2 linked regions of the Sus scrofa genome follow. Each later gene encodes a partner of the first gene's protein in a complex. Links are inferred from orthologs where the notes say so. Each region holds a gene or a part of one and is shown on either strand. Other genes may lie near its edges. The genes, in order: SRC and PTPN1.

What was found.
Region 2: the proteins of SRC (region 1) and PTPN1 are in contact, whole or in part, in a crystal structure (PDB 3ZMQ), measured with the Homo sapiens proteins. The link is inferred for Sus scrofa from reciprocal best matches to the Homo sapiens genes SRC and PTPN1. Residues at the interface, in NP_005408.1 of Homo sapiens: Glu527, Gln529, Tyr530, Gln531, Pro532; in NP_002818.1 of Homo sapiens: Arg45, Tyr46, Arg47, Asp48, Val49, Asp181, Phe182, Ser216, Ala217, Gly218, Ile219, Gly220, Arg221, Ser222, Gln262.

Annotation. Positions count from the first base shown.
Region 1 is NC_010459.5:40,466,963-40,476,424, reverse strand, and holds the start of SRC (proto-oncogene tyrosine-protein kinase Src), read right to left. Parts: upstream 5,437-9,462; 5' UTR 5,088-5,436; intron 1-5,087. UniProt on the Homo sapiens protein: Non-receptor protein tyrosine kinase which is activated following engagement of many different classes of cellular receptors including immune response receptors, integrins and other adhesion receptors, receptor protein tyrosine kinases, G protein-coupled receptors as well as cytokine receptors.
Region 2 is NC_010459.5:52,063,831-52,072,513, forward strand, and holds part of PTPN1 (tyrosine-protein phosphatase non-receptor type 1), read left to right. Parts: intron 1-3,218; coding exon 3,219-3,319; intron 3,320-6,913; coding exon 6,914-7,012; intron 7,013-8,683. UniProt on the Homo sapiens protein: Tyrosine-protein phosphatase which acts as a regulator of endoplasmic reticulum unfolded protein response. Mediates dephosphorylation of EIF2AK3/PERK; inactivating the protein kinase activity of EIF2AK3/PERK.

The sequences.
Region 1 (9,462 bases):
GAAGTCACTTGCTCAAGATCCCACAGCAAGGGGTGGGGAAATTGGGGTCTGGCTTCCAGCTCTGAGATCTTCCCCAATCCTCTACTCTGTGACTCAGCCCCACCCCCACATCCACCCCCACAGCCTGGTTGGGAGGAGAGAGCCCTGGATGAAAAGACAAGAGGTGGGCATTTTTCTCCCTGCTTGGATAATAGGTCCTGGGTCTTTCTGGCCTCAAATTACCCATCTGTGAAAAGAGAAGGTCAGAAGAGATCAGGAATGACAAACTCATGGCACACAGACAATGATGTCTAATCATCTGCCAGGGCAGACCTTGCTAATCTATCACAGCACTCCTTCCCACGAAGCCAAGACCGGCCTCAGAATGTTTCTCAAGACAGCAACCTCGATCTTGGGGATTTGAGCCCTGAGCCATTCCTAGATGAGATAATATCTGAGTCCCCCTGCTCAAGCGAAGGGAGAAAGAAAGATGTACCATTTACTGGGCATCCAGTTGTTTCCAGCCACTGGGAGACACGTCTGATTGAATCCTCACCAGGGAGGTGTGCAGAAGCTGAGGTTCAGAGAGGCTACGTGATATATGCCTTTGAACAGACAGGCGGGAAGGAGGCCTTGAACACAAAGGAAGGACCTAGAGGGTCACCCTCCGCAGGAAGAATGATGTAGAACCAGCCAGCAGGTGAGCGCCTAAGGTACAGCCTCAACGCATCCTCCTCCTGGCCCTACTGAGTGCAAGACGCGGGCCTCTTTTACAGCTCCAGAAACCAAGTCACAAGAAGGGGGTATCAGCTGCCAGCAAACAAAGGACATGTGCATGTTTCTGGCTCTGTCCTGCCCCTAGTTATGGAGCCACTGTGTGCGAAACGCTTTCCTCCACTCCCCTTGGGACATCCTGGGGGCCATGACACATACTACCTCACTTCATAGATGAGGAAACTGGGGTGCCCCCAAAGGAAGTAGCCCCCCACCCTCCCAGGGGCTCCAGTGGAAACCAGAGTGGTTTGCCATGGAGATAAAGGGTAGGAGCAGCAGAGAGGAAGTCAAGGGCTGGGGAAACCCAAGGGGAGATAGAGGCTCGGGAGCCACAGAACGGAGGCAGGAAATAAGGCTCTGGACCAAAGGCCCAGGGCTTGGGGCTGGAGGCCTCCGAAGGGGTCCCAGGGCCTACAGAGACATGGGAGGGCCTGGCCACACCCAGTCCTGGACCAGGACTCCAGAGCCCCACAGCCTAAGTTCAGCCCTGTCACTCGGCAACTGGGAGATACTAACCAAGTGGCTTCTTCTCTCTGGGTCTTAGTAAATACTGGAAAATGGGGCCAATCCCACCTAACATGAGCTTTCAAGAAACTGGGATGGCAGGTGTTCCCTTTGTGACCCAGTGTAAACAAACCCAACTAGTATCCATAAGGACTCGGGTTCGATCCCTGGCCTCGCTCGGTGGGTTAAGGATCGGGTGAGCTGCGGTGTAGATCGAGGAGGCAGCTCGGATGTGGCACTGCTGTGGCTGTGGTGTAGGCCAGCAGCTGCAGCTCCAATTCAACCCCTAGCCTGGGAACTTCCATGTGCCGTGGGTGTGGCCCTAAAAGCAAAACAAAGAAAAAGAAACTGGGGTGGGCTGGACCAACAGTGCTCTCCCCAGCTGAGCCTCCTCCCACACAGAGGCTGAGGTGGGACTTAAGTCACCCAGTGCGGATCCTTTCCTAGACCCACACCGTCAGAATCAGTGAGGTCATCCCCTCAAAGCCCTCACTGGACAGCTGGGGAGGCCGGACCCATTGAGCCAACTCATTTCCTGAGTACCTGCTGGTACCAGGTACTGGGCATGCAGCCCTCCTTTAACTCTCACCTGATAGATATGTACTGTTCCCATTTCAAGACAAGGAAGCTAAGTCTCAGGAAGATGGCATGAATCACCCAAAGACACACAGCAAGCAGGCACGGTCAGAACTTGAATGAAAGCCCTTCTGATTCTTGAGCCCTTACCATGCCTCTGTCTCCATCTCTCCAGCCGACCCCTCCCCACCTCACTCCCAGCTTCCAGCCACCCTGCATGGCACTGCCCCAACGCTGGCTCTCAGCCTCTCCTGGCTTCCTGCTACCGAACTCCTATTCTACTTTAAAGCCCAGCCTCAAATGCCTACTCCTCTTGTACCTGATCTGGGCCCCCACAGAGTACCTGGAGTCCAGCCCACATATCTAGTTGCACCAGGCACCTTGGGCAGCTCTGCACCCCTGGTCTCCAACATGGGGCTGTTGACACGGGGGATACCAGTCAGCCCCCTGTGTGAAGATGAAGGCCAAACCCCTCCCCAAGGCCCAGATGGCCCCACATGGTCCAGCCCTGCTGATAACAACCCCCCATTTCACCTCTGACCCCCTCCCCTTAATTTTCTGTGCTCCAGACTCACAGGCCCTCCCATTGTTTCTCCATAACGGCACACACTCCCCCACCTCAGGACCCTTGCACGTGGAGGTCCCCTGCCTGGTAAGCCCTATCCGTAGCTCCATGCCTGGCCAACTCCTCCATGCTTCGGGATTCCTCTGCGCCTCACATCTCTCTCTAAGCCCTTATCACATCGTGATTACATATTAATATATTTGGCAACTTGTTTGCTACTTAGCTCACCCTCCAGACTTAACTTTCCTGGCAGCCAGGGACCTGTCCACAATTCCCCAGCAAGGACACCCCCCCACTCCCCACCCCCCCAAGGCTGACCACTCCCCACAACCCAGGGGCCCTGGGAAGTAGCTGAGCACGCTCTCCCCTTCTCGGTTGAGCAAACTCCTGCTTCCTCTCATCACCGCCTCCTGGAAGCCTCCAGATGCCTCCTACAGCTCCCACTGCTAACCCATCCCCACACTGCTCGGCCCAAGTTCAAAGCTCCTAGAACATCATCGGTGCCTGTATCAGGCAGATTTGGGGAAATGGGGTCAGTGAGGACCAAGGGATGTCAGCAGGACACGGAGCCATCTCCCCCCGGTTCCTGGGGCTTGGGGGAGCCAGACAACACCTCCATCCCAGGTCACAATCAAGGAAGAAGTCAATGTAGGAACTGGCTGTGAGCTGGGGATCATTCATGCTCCAGGAAAAGGCTAGGGGAGGTGGGAGAAAGCCAGGCGGCCTTCCTGGGAGAGGTGGGCTTTGAGCTAAGCCTTAAAGAGCAAGAGCAGATAAGCAGCTCATAGAGGAGAGGGCCCTCCCAGCAGCAGGGACACCTTCAGGAGCCAAGCCCCAGGGGCCGCACAGGAGGGCCTGGGCAGGCAGTCAGCTGAGAGAGGTGACACACTGTAAATCACTTCCCTGGGTGGAAAGACCACATCACCAAGGCACACACATCACCACATCACTAAAAGGGCCGCGTGGCTTCCATACAATCACTCATCGGTATAGTCTTTTCCAGCCCTGTCCTCTGCCTGTTCGCACACTGGGAAACCACTGCTCCCCCCTCATCGGAAGGGTGCATGGGCAGCCAGACCAGGGATTCTGAGGTCGAGGCTCTCACTCCAGCTTCAAGCTGTGTGGGCCTGGTCAAGTCCCTTCCCCTCTCTGAGCCTCGGTTTCTCACCAGCAAAACGAGGCTACATGAGAGTCCCTCCCTCATAGGAGGCGCTCAGAAGATGTCAGCAGTGATCATGATCACTGGCCCATTTTATACTTAACAAAACTGAGGCCAGCGGGAGCCACGTACTGCCTAAGGTCACACAGCTGCTGGGGGACAAAATGGTGCTCAGGGCTATTTCTTTCTCAAGGGTTTAGGAGTGGCTTCGGGGGCACCCAATCCATCTTCTTCTGGGGATGCACCCCACTTGGGCCAACAACTTCACCTCCCAGCCACCTTTTTTTAGGCAATTCATCCAGTAAGGTGTGCATTTATTGAACACCTATTACATGCCGAGCCCCTACATGCAGAAGCACAGAGATTCTTCCCCTGAGGATGCCCACTGCACACACATGGACTCAGAGGCGCGCGGTCCCTTGGCCCAGGTCACCTATGAGATGAGAAGCCTACAGCTGTTTTGTCTCCCCAGCCAGGAGGCCAGAAGAGGGTCAGCACAGGACCAGCCAGATCCATTCTTGAGATCAAGTCTGATCTCAACTGTACTGTGGCTAAGCCTGGACTCACCTCTAGTGACCCAGAGACAGAGTCCCTAAAGCCTGGGAGGCCTGACCCAGGGGCACACAAGGGCTTTGCCACTATCAAGTCTGCCTGAACTGATACCCTATAGGTGAGCCCCTTCTGTTCACCCCATCCTTCCAACAGCCCAGTAGTAAACCCAGCCAGGCCCAAGCTGGGCCTGATGAGGACTCTGAGCTCAGAGAGGTCAGGTAGTTGCCTGAGGACACACAGCAAGGCAAGTAAGTGGTGGTCCCTGTTGGGACTCAAACCCACCACCAATGCCAGCCCGGGCAGGCAGATGGACCCGGCCTGGTGGTGAAATCCCAAAACTTTTGCCAACTTCTGAGCACACAGGCGGCTGGGCCTGCCCAGAGGCAAGTCTAGGGGGCTGTGGGCAGCAGGAACCAAGCACAGTCGGGCCCAGTCCCTTTCAGGCCGTCAGCACCAGGCCCTACCCAAAGCCCCACGAAGACGGGAAAATCCTGGTGCCCTGGCCAAGCACTCCCTCCCGGGCGCCCCCAGGCCCACCCCGCCCGCCCCCTCATCACCTCCCATCCCGGGCTAGGGGCGCCAGGCCGGGCAGCCGCGGCCAGAGGCGGCGCCGACCGGCTCAGATTTCAGATTTGGCCTAGACCTGGCCTGGGGGCTCAGGCCCAGCTCGCGGCTCTCAGGGGCCCGTAGGGGTAAGGTGGGCCGGAGGGGGTTCCAGCGCAGACAGGACCCCTACGCCCCCCCACAGAGCCCCCTCCCCCCCACCCCCAGGCATCACAACAAAAGGCCGCACCAGGCACGTCCCCGTGCGCCGGCCCAGCGCTCCTGGATCGCAGCTCGGCCCGGGGGTGGGTGGGGGGAAAAGGGGGGGCCAGGAGCCCCAGCGGCCCGGCGATCCGACGCCAGGGTGGTCCCCGGGCAGGGGCTCCCTCACTCGGGCGGGGACCGGGAGCCGGCGGCGGGGTGGGGGGCGCTCACCTGGGCCAGCGGACAGGCGGACGCACCGGCAGGCAGACGCACGGGAGGAAGGACCTCCGGACGGCCAAGGGTTCGGGCACACGGCGGCCAGGCCGCTCCGGCTCCCAGGCCGGAATGGATTCCCGGCCGGGAGAGACAGATCGAGAGAGAAAGGGAGAGGGAGGAGGAGGAGGAGGAGGAGGAGGAGGCGGCGGCTCAGGGAGGGGAAGAGGAGGGAGGGAGCGCGCGAGCAGGGAGGAGGGGCCCGGCAGGCCGCCGGGAGGAGGAGGAAGGAGGAAGCGCGCCGGGACGGATTCCCCGCCGGTGACCTGGGATAGACCCAGGCGCGGGCCACCCCCGCCCCCCAACCCTGGGGTCCGGGCGGGCGGGGAATGGGGGGCGGAGGCACCGGGCACGGAAGCCCCGCCCCCCACCCCGCCCCAAGAGAGTCCCTACCCTTTGGGACACCCATCAGCCCTCACGCGAAAATGCCCACCCTCACTGCCCCCAATCCACCTACCCTGTTTACCCCAAATCTACCTCTCCCGAAATTATCAGTAATAATAATAACTGCAGCACTGATGGAGTGCTCACTCCTTGCCAGGTGCCACGCTAAGCTATTCAGGTCAACTTTATGATCTATTCGTACCAACCAGCTGGGCTGGGCAGACCCAAGATTATCCCTATTTTATAGAGAAAGAAACTGAGGCACAGAGAAGGGAATCACCTGACAAGAACCAGGTCTTGGGATTTCCTGTTGTGGTGCAGCAGAAACAAATCCGTCTAGCATCCTTGATCCCTGGCCTCCCTCAGTGGGTTAAGGATCAGATGTTGCCGTGAGCTGTGGTATAGGTCACAGACAGGGCTTGGATCCTGCGTTGCTGCGGCTGTGGTGTAGGCCAGCAGCTGTAGCTCCAATTTGACCCCTAGCCTGGGAACTTCTATATGCTGCGGGTGTGGCCCTAAAACAAACAAAAAAAAATAGGCCTTGGACCCTGGCCTTGACCTGAGTTTCCTTGACCTGAGTTTCCCAAAGTGGGGACTGGAGCAGAAAGGACAGTGTGGGAAAGAGTAACGTTTATTTTAATAGATATGTATTCCTTTTAATGGATAGAAGAGAAAAAAAACTAAGGCAGCCTATCCAATGTCAGCCAGTCCAGATACTCCTACTTAGGATGGGGCTGAAATAGGTGTTTAGTGGCACTTATACTTCCATGTAAATGAAGAGGCTGAGGACCTCTGGACGCAGGGGGCAGAGAGTATAGCAGAGAAAGGAGGGGACATTGAGGAAAGGCTGGTTTAGCTACAGAGCCTCCTGCACCACCTATTCCCCCTCTGGCTTCAGGACTGCCCTCTTGAGGGTGGGTGCTGTATCCTTGGTTCTTCGCACGTTACAGCACAGGGGAAGGGAGGGCCCGAACCCAGCTTTAAATACCACCATCTGGAGTTCCATTGTGGCTCGGCGGAAAAGAATCCTACTAGGAACCGCGAAGTTGCAGGTTTGATCCCTGGCCTCACTCAGTGGGTTAGGGATCCGGCGTTGCTGTGAGCTGTGGTGTTGGTCGCAGATGAGGCTCAGATCTGGCCTTGCTGTGGCTGTGGCCTAGGCCAGCGGCAACAGCTCCGATTAGACCCCTAGCCTGGGAACCTCCACATGCCGCGGGTGTGGCCTTAAAAAGACAAAAGACAAAAAATAAATAAACAAATAATAAATAAATGCCATCCTCTGCCTCCACTTTCCTTCTCAGAAAGTTTTCCCATTTCACAGATGGGAAACTAAGGCCCAGCAGGGTCAAATGGTGTCAGGTTTGGGCTTCTCCTTCTGAGAGGAGCTGGGAGGGGAATCAGGGTACAATATAGTATCCAGGAGACCAGGAATGAGCAAGGCCTGGAGCCAGACTGATCGCCGCCTGCTATACCTTTGTACAAGCCCATCGACTTCCCCAGTCCAGTCCCCTCACCTACGAAACGGGAGCAAACACGGCCTCCGAGGACTCCTGGGAAGGTTAGAACTGACAAGGTTGGGAGTAGCTGAGGTTGCGCGCCATGAATGGCAACTACCATGGTTGGTAAACTAAGGCCAGAGGGGAAAGGGGCTGCTTGAAGTCTCCTGGAAATGCAGCAGCAGAGCCAGCCCCAGAAGCCGGCCTGGGCTGGTGAAATGGCTGCACGTATTTGCAAGGCTGGCTTAAAGATTAACCGTGGCTTCCCGAGATACCGGGCAGGGCCCCCAGCTGGAGTAGCAGGTTTCTCAGCCCTTGTTCACTCCTCAGATAGGCCTGAGGCCTTGACTGGAGACCCAGGCTACGGGTGGGAGGTTCATCCAGTGTGTGCTGGGGCTGGCCCTCACCACTCTTCATCTGCAAGAGCCGACTATATTCATCTCTTCCCAAAGCCAGGTTCAGGGCTGTCATGTTGGTAGCTTGATATCAGCCATGTTGGAACTATTAACACCTTGGAAATCAGCAAATTCTACAAATCAAGGCTTTTTTCCTGCCCGAGAGCTAGCTGTTAAATATTTACCAGCACATGACTAGATTCATCTCTAGGAATTCGACAGAAAGTTGGGCTTCCTTTAGAGCTAGGATGGCAGAGGGCTTAAAGGCACAAACTTTGGACCCACAGACCTGGGTTTAAGTCCCATCTCTACCCCTTCATGGATATGTGACTTTAAGCCTGCCTTTTCTCTGAACCTCACTATGCCAGCCTGCAAAATGGGTAAAGATGGTGCATCCCTCAGGCGGCTCACGTGAGGATGAAGCGACTTACACCCAGCATGTCCGAGCCCTCATTCACACCTATGCACTCTCTTGGAAGAGTCAGGGCAACAAATCTGGGCTCCGAGCACAGATGCCACCTTCCACCTGGAGCCACCACTGGTTTGGCTCAGAAGTTGATAGTCTCAGGAGGATGTGGCCAGCACACTGGTTTCATGATGGAGTGTTGGAAAAGTTCATTATTTTCATCCACCCCTCTGGGCCTTCACTCAGGCTGTAACCCCTACCAGGAATGCTCATGCCACATCCCTGTCCACCAAGACCCCGAGTAAGTGCCACCTCCTCCAGGACATGCTTCCTGAAAGAAATACTCTGATGGAGGCACATCCCAAGCCATTTGGGGAGTTCCCATCGTGGCTCAGCAGGTTAAGAACCCAACTAGTATCCATAAAGATGCAGGTTCAATCCCTGGCCTCTCTCAGCAGGTTAAGGATCCAGGGTTGCCACAAGTTGTGGCATAGGTTGTGGATGCAGCTCAGATCTGGTGTTGCTGTGGCTGTGGTGTAGGCCGGTAGCTGCAGTTACTATTTGACCCCTATCCTGGGAAATTCCATATGCCACAGGTGCAGTCCTAAAAAGACAAAAAAAAAAAAAAAAAAACCCAAAAAACAAAAAAAACAAGCCATTCAGGGTTTGTCTGTTCCAACCCCAAGAACAGGGACTATGGCCTGGTCTATGCCCAGCACAGAGCAGGCACTGCCCACTTGGCCAGAGAGAGGACCCAGACTAGGAATCCACATACAAGAGTCCCACCACTTCCATTCATCAACTATGTAACCTCACCCTCTTTGAGCCTCAATTTACTAATCAATAAAGTGGGTGCAGCAACCCTACCAAGTTTCAGGATTATCACATTGCAAGAGTAGCCAGTCTGGCCTGGTGGATCAGCAAGTGACTCTCTGTCCATTATTTTGCTTAAAACATTGTTAGTAAAACAGCAACTCATTGCTTACTTCCCACAAATCATTTATCATCATTAAGGGACAGCAAACACTTATTGACCGCCGAAGGTATATGCAGCCCTGGGCCAGGTCTGGAACACCAAGAAGGACAATTTCCCAACCCAAACACCCCCAGATGACAGATGTCATTGAGGTCAACTTGGGGAGATGGTGGGCACTGGCTGTACACAGTTCTCTGTCTCTGGAAGCCTCCTCTTCCCTTCTGCCCCCCACCTGGGTCAAAGCCACAACCGAGGACAAGATGGAGCATGTGGGGTGAGGCCTGGCCTCCCACAACTGTCAGCAGACCTGTGGTGAGAGCTTTCCCATGCCATGAGATCAGGGGCACTTCACCCAGGGCCCTAGTGGTAGCCTTTTTGGTCATGCCCACTCTGAGCCCAGCTCATCCTTGGAAAGCAACTGGGAAGCTGACCCATCACAGGCACTCAGTGGGAAATTCCAGACTAGTGCTGTCATTCCCCAGATGGTTGACGGCGAGTTGTCATCCAAAGAAGCAGGTTCAGGGCTGCAGGACAAGGTGGAAGAGTGGGCAGGCTCTTACTTGCAGCTGTGGAATGGGCTTGGCACCCAACATGGTAGCACACTTTACAGTTTACACAGAGATGCCTGGGGCATCAGTGCATTAGCCTGATCTGACCCTTGCCAAGCACTCAGGCC
Region 2 (8,683 bases), about 12 Mb from region 1:
ACAGAGGAAAAAAAAACAGCATTTAAAATATTCTTGGGAGTTCCCGTCGTGGCGCAGTGGTTAACGAATCTGACTAGGAACCATGAGGTTGCGGGTTCAGTCCCTGCCCTTGCTCAGTGGGTTAATGATCTGGCGTTGCCATGAGCTGTGGTGTAGGTTGCAGACGTGGCTCGGATCCCTCATTGCTGTGGCTCTGGCGTAGGCCAGTGGCTATAGCTCCGATTCAACCCCTAGCCTGGGAACCTCCATATGCCGCGGGAGCGGCCCAAAGAAATAGCAAATAAATAAATAAATAAATAAATAAAATAAAATAAAATAAAATAAAATATTCTTCCAGAGATACAATTGAAAAGCTTTTTCACCCCTGTCCAGTCTCACTCTTTATATTTTTCTTTTTCTCCCCTTTCTCCATCTTCAGTAGAAAAAGTAATTTGCTTTTAAGGTTGTGGAGGAAATGGGGGAAATGTTTCAAGGGACAAAGTGATTGTTGTTAGCTTCCATTTGGCAGGTGGAAAACCCAGCACTCAGACGATAAGTTGTTTGCCCAAAGTCCCCACCCAGTGCTGTGTGAGTCCACTCACATAACCACCAGTGCCAGTCATAATTTTTTTGAGATCTCTTATCTCCATGACCCACTTAAATATTACCCAAGTGTTTCAGTTTGTATTAACCCTCTATGATGAGAAACATTATTCCAAACAGTGACTGATTTTCAAAAACATCTCTTTGAGACCCTTTAGAACAAAGTCTCAAACCACTTATTCCCACTAATTTTTCCTTTTCCACTGGGCAGGGGGAGAAATTTATGGATGATCACCTGAGTTCATCATCCCTTGTGTTGTACCAGAAATAAAAATAACCACCTGCTCTCTTTTTGGTTTTTTTAGTTTTTATTATAGTTGATTTACAATGGTGTGCCAATTTCTGCTCTGTAGCAAAGGTGACCCAGTCATACATATGTACACTCCTTTTCTTATGTTATCTTCCATGATGGCCTACCCCAAGAGATTGGATGTAGTTCCCTGTGCCGTACAGTGGAACCTCATTGCTTATACGTTCTAAGTGTAATCCCACCTGCTCTTTTTAGCTATACTAGTGGGATGAGGAAAGTGGCCCTTAGGAAACCATAGCTTTTATAACAAAGTCATAGTAAAAGGGGAGAAAAAAAGTGCTGGGCTTCTTCGTAACTTGGGGCAAATCTTTCCAATATGAATTTATTCCTAAGAACTGTTCTCGGAGTTCCCATTGTGGCTCTGTGGAAATGATTCTATCATCTATGAGGAGGCAGGTTCGATCCCTGGCCTCGCTCAGTGGGTTAAGGATCCAGCATTGCTGTGAGCTGTGGTGTAGGTCACAGATGCGGCTTGGATCCCACATTGCTATGGCTGTGGTGTAGGCTGGCATCTACAGCTCCAATTTGACCCCTAGCCTGGGGACCTCCATATGGCACAGTTGTGGCCCTAAAAAGACAAAAGTAAAAAAATAAAAAACGGGAGTTCCCATCGTGGCTCAGTGGTTAACGAATCCAACTAGGAACCATGAGGTTGCGGGTTCGATCCTTGGCCTTGCTTAGCGGGTTAAGGATCCAGCGTTGCCGTGAGCTGTGGTGTAGGTCCAAGATGTGGCTCGGATGTGGCGTGGCTGTGGTGTAGGCCAGCGGCTACAGCTCTGATTAGACCCCTAGCCTGGGAACCCCCATATGCTATGGGTGTGGCCCGAGAAAAGACAAAAAGCCCAGTAAATAAATAAATAAATAAATAAAATTTAAAAAAATAAACTATTCTGAAAGTTACATTTAATATACTTTCAAAAAAGACTAAATAAATAAATAAATAAATAAAGGAGTTCCCATCGTGGCGCAGTGGTTGACGAATCTGACTGGGAACCATGAGGTTGCGGGTTCGGTCCCTGCCCTTGCTCAGTGGGTTGACGATCCGGCGTTGCCGTGACCTGTGGTGTAGGTCGCAGACGCGGCTCGGATCCCGCTTTGCTGTGGCTCTGGTATAGGCCAGAGGATACAGCTCCTATTTGACCCCTAGCCTGGGAACCTCCATATGCCGCAGGAGCGGCCCAAGAAATAGCAAAAAAAAGGACAAAAAAATATATATACTTTCAGTGTTTTGGATTCAGAGTTTATTTTTTCCACTTAAACTCTTTTGTCTTTGATTATTACATTTATGTTATTCTTGAACTTAAAAAAAAAACAAAAAACAAAAAATCCCGTGTCAAGGAATTCAAGGTATAACCTTTCACATTGCTGTTTACTTAGGCCATTTAGTCTTCAAACCATTAGGCATAGGTTAGGTTGAGGTGTGGTCCTAAGTCTTACCTACTCAGCTCATTTACTAACAAGAGCTCTGGGGACTGGGTGGAATTGGGGTGGATTTTGTTCCCTTTTAAAGATTGAAGCCACTGTGTTTTGTTTTTTTTTTTTTTTTTAGGGCCACATCTGCGGCACATGGAGGTTCCCAGGCTAGGGATTGAATTGCAACTATAGCTGCTGGCCTACGCTAGAACCATAGCAACGCCAGATCTGGGCCATGTTTGTGACCTACACCACAGCTCATGGCAGTTCGGGATCCTTAACCCACTGAACGAGGCCAGGCATTGAACCCGAAACCTCATGGTTATTAGTTGGGTTTGTTAACCACTGAGCCACGACAGGAAATCTGAAGCCACTGTATTTTTTAACCTTTAAACGTATGTATGTAATAGGCATCAGAATACAGATCCCTTGACGTTCCCTCTTCCCAGTTTTCTGGAGTTGTGAGGACAGTAATAAATATCATTACGTTAAGACAATATCGCCTAAAAACAGATTTCCCAAACAGTACATAATCTGTGTTTTAGTGTAGTTTGTCTCTGTTGCTATTTAGTGTTATGTTTCAAATACTTCCAAAAATCTTTGGGAAAACACCAGCCGTTCTGGCAGGTAATAGAAAAAGAATATGTATATGTGTGTGACTGGGTCACTCTGCTGTACATCACAAATTGATAGAACATTGTGAATCAGTTATACTTTAATTAAAAATTACAAAAAAAGAAAAGAGAGCTAGTCATTCTCATGATGATGACTGATCTCAGTGAGGCTTGGCCTCAGCCAACATGAACGCGCCTGGTGCCACCACCTCGCCTTCTTTGCTTACCCTGTGGCGCGTGCTGCCTGTGCAGACAGTGTGAGTCCTCCAGATTAACCTCAGTTCTGGTTTGCCTTTCAGTTGACCATAGTCGGATTAAACTCCATCAAGAAGATAATGACTATATCAATGCTAGTTTGATAAAAATGGAAGAAGCCCAAAGGAGTTACATTCTCACCCAGGTAAACAGATTGTGTGAATTTTTCTTTGATAGTTTTGTGTTTGTTGGTGTTAGAGTGCTGTTATCTAAACCTCAGTTAAAATCTGCCACTTCTTGTAGAAGATCAGGTTTTAAACAACCCAGGAAAACAACAAGGGAAGGAAAAAGCCTTCTTTCAGAGATTCAGTCTAGTTGTGACATGAATCTTTTCTGGGAAGCATGGCATTGCTGGTTTTGTAGAAAACAGCAGTAAAATGCCAGGGGTGCCTTTGGGCTGTTGACAGGGGCAGCACCTAGAGAAGAGCCTATAACCCTCCTCAGGGCATCAGGAATCTTTGTCTAGATAGCCATTCAGAATTCCTCTGCCTGGTGCTCCTTCTTTGGCAGTGGGAGCAGGCGAGGGGCGGGTGATTAGATTGTGTAAACAAGCGTGCAAAATCACTTGACCTTCCCATTGGCTTTTGGCATCTTTATGGAAAAAAATCATAGAAGTGGTTTAATAGCTGACCTTTTGCGAAACACTTACTGGTATATGACCTGAAGACTATGCGTGGGAAAGGGGATAAAGGAGTTTCTTTTTAATTAATGTTCTCAAGTCTCAATCTAATCTGCTACCTGTAAATAAATTGGTCCAGGTTTTTCTCTCTCTCTCTTTTTTTTTTTTTTTTTTTCTTTTTTCCTTAGGGCCACACCCTTAGCATGTGGAGGTTTCCAGGCTGGGAGTCCTATTCCAGCTACAGATGCCAGCCTACACTACAGCTCATGGCAACACCAGATCCTTAACCCACTGAGCAAGGCCAGGAATTGAACCCACAACTTCATGGTTACTAGTAGGATTCGTTTCCACTGCTCCAAGACGGGAACTCCTTTTTTTTTTTTTTAATCATAATTTTCATTTTCTCATTCCATATCACTTTTATCAGTCTTACATTTGCTTTGGGTTATAGGGTGATTGCAAACATCATAACTCTGCTTAATACTTGGAGACTAAGGAATTCCCGTTTTGGCACAGTGGAAGTGAATCCAATTAATCCACTAGGAACCATGAGGTTGCAGGTTCGGTCCCTGGCCTCACTCAGTGGTTTAAGGATCCAGCGTTGCCATGAGCTTTGGTGGTGTAGGTCGCAGACTTGGCTCAGAACTGGGGTTGCTGTGGCTCTGGCGTAGGCCGGCAGCAACAGCTCTTATTAGACCCTTAGTCTGGGAACCTCCATATGCCACAGATATGGCCCTAAAAAGACAAAAAAAAAAATATATATATATATGTATATATATATATATATATATATTAGGAGACTAAAATGACAGTGAAGTCAGGAAGTACATTGAACAAAGTATGCTTTGGAACAGGGCATATCCCCCATGGCCCTTCTTTACTGTCCCTTTTGTCCTGCCCCAGTTCCTCTCTGCACATGACCAGAATCAGCCAGACACCTTCCAGTGGGTGTACGGGACATGAGCCATGCTGTGTGTTCAATTCTGGGGGCCGCTGAATAAATGCCCAGGGCCTCGCCTGTAGTCTTCCCGTCACCTCTGGGGCGGGGTGTAAAGGAAGGACACCCTGGTTGTGGCGAGCTGGTGGGAAGAGGTCTGAAGCAAAAGTGTCTTCTTGGGAACTTCTCTTAAAAAAGAAGTAGTCAAGTTTCTTACTTCCTCATTTCAGCCATTCAGCTTTGGTGTGGGGTCAGGAAGCCAAAGCAAAGCTAGGGTGTGTAAAGTCACATGGAGCATTAGGAAGTCACCATGGAAACTTTGACACCACGGCCCCCCCACCCCTCACCCCATGCCCTCACAGTTACTCAGACGTTCTGTCTGTGCCTGAGGTTCTGTCTGCCAGATGGTACCATGGATGTCAGAGGATATCCGGAGGGATAGGTCTCCCTCTGTCCTGAGATTTACGTAAGGGATCGAAGCAGCCAGACCCCAAAGAGGCACCCCTGGTCGGTGAAATATGTCCCAAGCCACAAAGTCAGGCAAACCCTACCCAATTTTTATTTTTAATGTTATTTAATGTTATGCACATAACACATGCCTATAGTCTCATTTTTTAAAATTCAGGTAGGTTGATTTACAGTGTTGATGTCTGCTATACAGAAAAGTGATTCAGTTATATATGTATATATACACATTCTTTTTTACATTCTTTTCCATTATGATTTATCTCAGGATACTGAATACAGTTCCCTGTGTTAGACAGTAGGACCTTGCTGGTTATCCCTTCCGTATGTAGTCTGCATCTTAGAGTCGTGGTTTTTAACAGCCAGAAGTATAGAAGTACAGGGATTAATGTCACCGATGCCAGCCTTCACTCCATCTTCAAGTGTTGGCTACGTTTGGTGTGTATGCTTTCACATCTTAGGTGATTTTTAATCCCTCAGACCCATCCTAAACTGGGGTGATACTGGGAGGCAGGGAAGTAACCGATGGGAGCCACAGCTGTAGGGCCCTGGCCACAGGCTCCTCATGACTAGGTGGGAGGGTCAAAGGCCCAGGGACCCCATAACTCCCGCCTTCCCGAAGCCGTTTCTCTGTTGGTTTGCTGGAAGGGGTTTTTCGCAGGTTATCTGCTGCTATCTGAGGCTGTGTGGAGCGTGGATTTGTAGCAAATCCCTGAAAAGTTCAGAGAAGAACGTGAGAGGGCTCACATGGTCAAGGGAAGTGTTGTGAGACCTAAAGGGAAAAGATGCAAAGAATAAGGAGATTTTGGATGAAAATGTATGGAAACGATTCTAGAAGAAGTTGTGCTGGCCAGAGATGATGGGTGATGTCCCTTCTGGGCAGTACTAAAAATTGAGACAAACTCAGTTCATAGCCTGGCATTCATACACTGTATCCAGTAAAGATCTGTGCCCATTGCCAGGTGGGCTGGAGTGAGACAGACCAACTGCTTGGCAGACACCACCACCCCTGATTCTCCAGTGACACCATACCCCTTGGGCCACCCACCTGACCATTTGTGTGTCCGCGTTTCTATGTTCCGTGGTTCTTCTTGATCCAAAATGAAGGCTGTCTTGGTCAGGTTAGCCATTACTAATAGTAATAACAATAGCTAACATTCTGTTGGGTATATACTGTGTTCCAGGTACTGTAGTAAGGCTTTTATATATATGAACATAGTTCATCTTCACAGCCCGGTGACTAGGTGCCCTGATGAGGTGAGTGAGGTTAGGTGGAGAAGCCGAGGCAAGGAGAGGTGAATTAACTTCTGTGGTCACACAGATGGTACGTGGTTGGAGCAGGGGCATCACAGTTGGCCTCTTCCCCATACCACCTCCGACCTGCAGCCAAGATTTTGTTCGTTTCCACCTGCCCTGAGGCATGGATCTCAGTGGAGCCCCTCAACCAGCCAGCCCCAACTGGAAAGCAGAATCAGTGTTTTCTCTCCTCCGTTGCTCAGCTCTGAACCAGCTCTGAGATGCGGAAATGACCTTTTACCCTGTGGTAGGAAATAGAATTGTGGTTACTGTCTGCCAGGCAGGGAGCGGAGGGTCCCTGTCCCAGCCAAGGCCACCACATTGCCTAAGGGCGCTGTCATTGACTAACTGCCAACAGTGAGCTCCCACTGGAGTGTGTCTATGTGTAAAATGCATACACTCTGTGAATTGTGTGTTTGCAGGGCCCATTGCCCAATACCTGTGGTCACTTTTGGGAGATGGTGTGGGAGCAGAAGAGCAGGGGCGTTGTTATGCTCAACAGAGTGATGGAGAAAGGATCGGTAAGTCATAGATTTCTCTACCGTTTACGCCACTGTCTTTGTGGTTGCCAGTCCATAAAGTTGATATTTCTGCCTATGTATTTCCTTGAATTGCCTTTATATTTCTTTTACTTGGTCTTTTTTATTAGAAAAATATTTTAAAACTCTCTCTCTATATATATATACATGTTTATTGTGACCAAGTCAGATGCATAGGTGAATGTAAAAGGGAAAAAAGTCAAATTGCCCTTGACCTGTTCCCACCCCACCATCAGTCTCTCCAGAGTGGGCTGTGCGTGCCCTGCTGTGCTTTCACCTAGGCCTCCTGTGCCGCTGCACCTGCCTTATGGAGCTGTGGAAGCAAGCGTTTTATTTTGAAAAGCAGCTTCCTACTGTATCGTCATCATATCTGCTTTTTCTGGCTGGTGAAAGTGTGCCTCCCTGCACCTGAGCTGAGGAAGAGCTGGACCCTGGATTCCCTCCATAAAATCCCCAGACCTTTGGCTCCTGGCCGCGCCTCTGTGACGTGGCTGTGTCTGCTTGTGCGTTTATTTCAGGATGTGTGTCATCCTTTCTTCTACATTGTTTGCAGCGTGGGCTAGAGGTGTCTTTGTTGAGGCCGCCCCCTTCCTTTTGACTCACTCTCCTCAGTCCTGCACCGTGCATCCACAATGATCTTTAGTCTAAACCAAGTCTCCCCACACCTCTGCCCAGCGAAACCCTACTGGGGCGCCCACTCCCTCCCAGGATATACATTATGTGGCTACAGGACTGGGTGTGATTGGACCCTCATTATCCTGGACCCCTCATCTCCTCCTCCATCTCTAGACTCCAGCCAGAACAAACTTTTTTTTTTCTTTTTAGGGCCACACTTGTGGCATATGGAAGTTCCCAGCTAGGGATCAAATCTGCTCTGCAGCCATAAGCAACACGGAATCCGAGGCTCATCCATGACCTACACCATAACTCACTGCAACGCCAGATCCATAACTCACTGAGCAAGGCCGGGGATCGAACCCACATCTTCATGGATACTGGTTGGGGTCGATACCACTGAGCCACAGTGGGAACTCCACTCAGTTTTATTCATTTTGTTTTATTTTTTAATTTTTCAATGTTTCTTGCCAGTTCTTTGGGTTGAAGATCTGAATCGCACTTGCCCCACCTCCAGGCATCCCATGTTGCTTCCCACAGGCCCCCCGAGGCTATGTTCTCCCGTCCCGCACATCTTGGGGTACAGTGTGGTCCTCACATGGTGGAGTAGATGCCACATCCCCACCACCCTGGCTCCCCTGTTGCCCTTACTCTCGTGCCAACACAGCTAGGGCTCTACAGCCTCAGAGGCAGAGGACCCAGGAGAAGGTGAGCTGAGGGGTATGGAGCCCAGTAGGAACGTGTCGCCTGACCAGGTGCTGGCACTTTGGCCTCTGGGCTTGGCATGGGCACGAGGAAGAACAGAGGAACGCAAAGGCTCCAGAGATGCCACCCCTCGGAAGAAAGCACCGTCGTGGCCCTAAAGGGAAAAAATACAAGTGCACAGAAGTAACACATCAAAGGAAGCTTGAGTGGTGAAAATCTAAAGCACTAGAACTCTCCCCACAAAGCCTCTTCCCTCCTCCGCACAGAAAGAAATGGGCTTGCTTACAGCAAATGGTTAAGACAGCACATGTTTAAAATCACATTTTTGCCTCT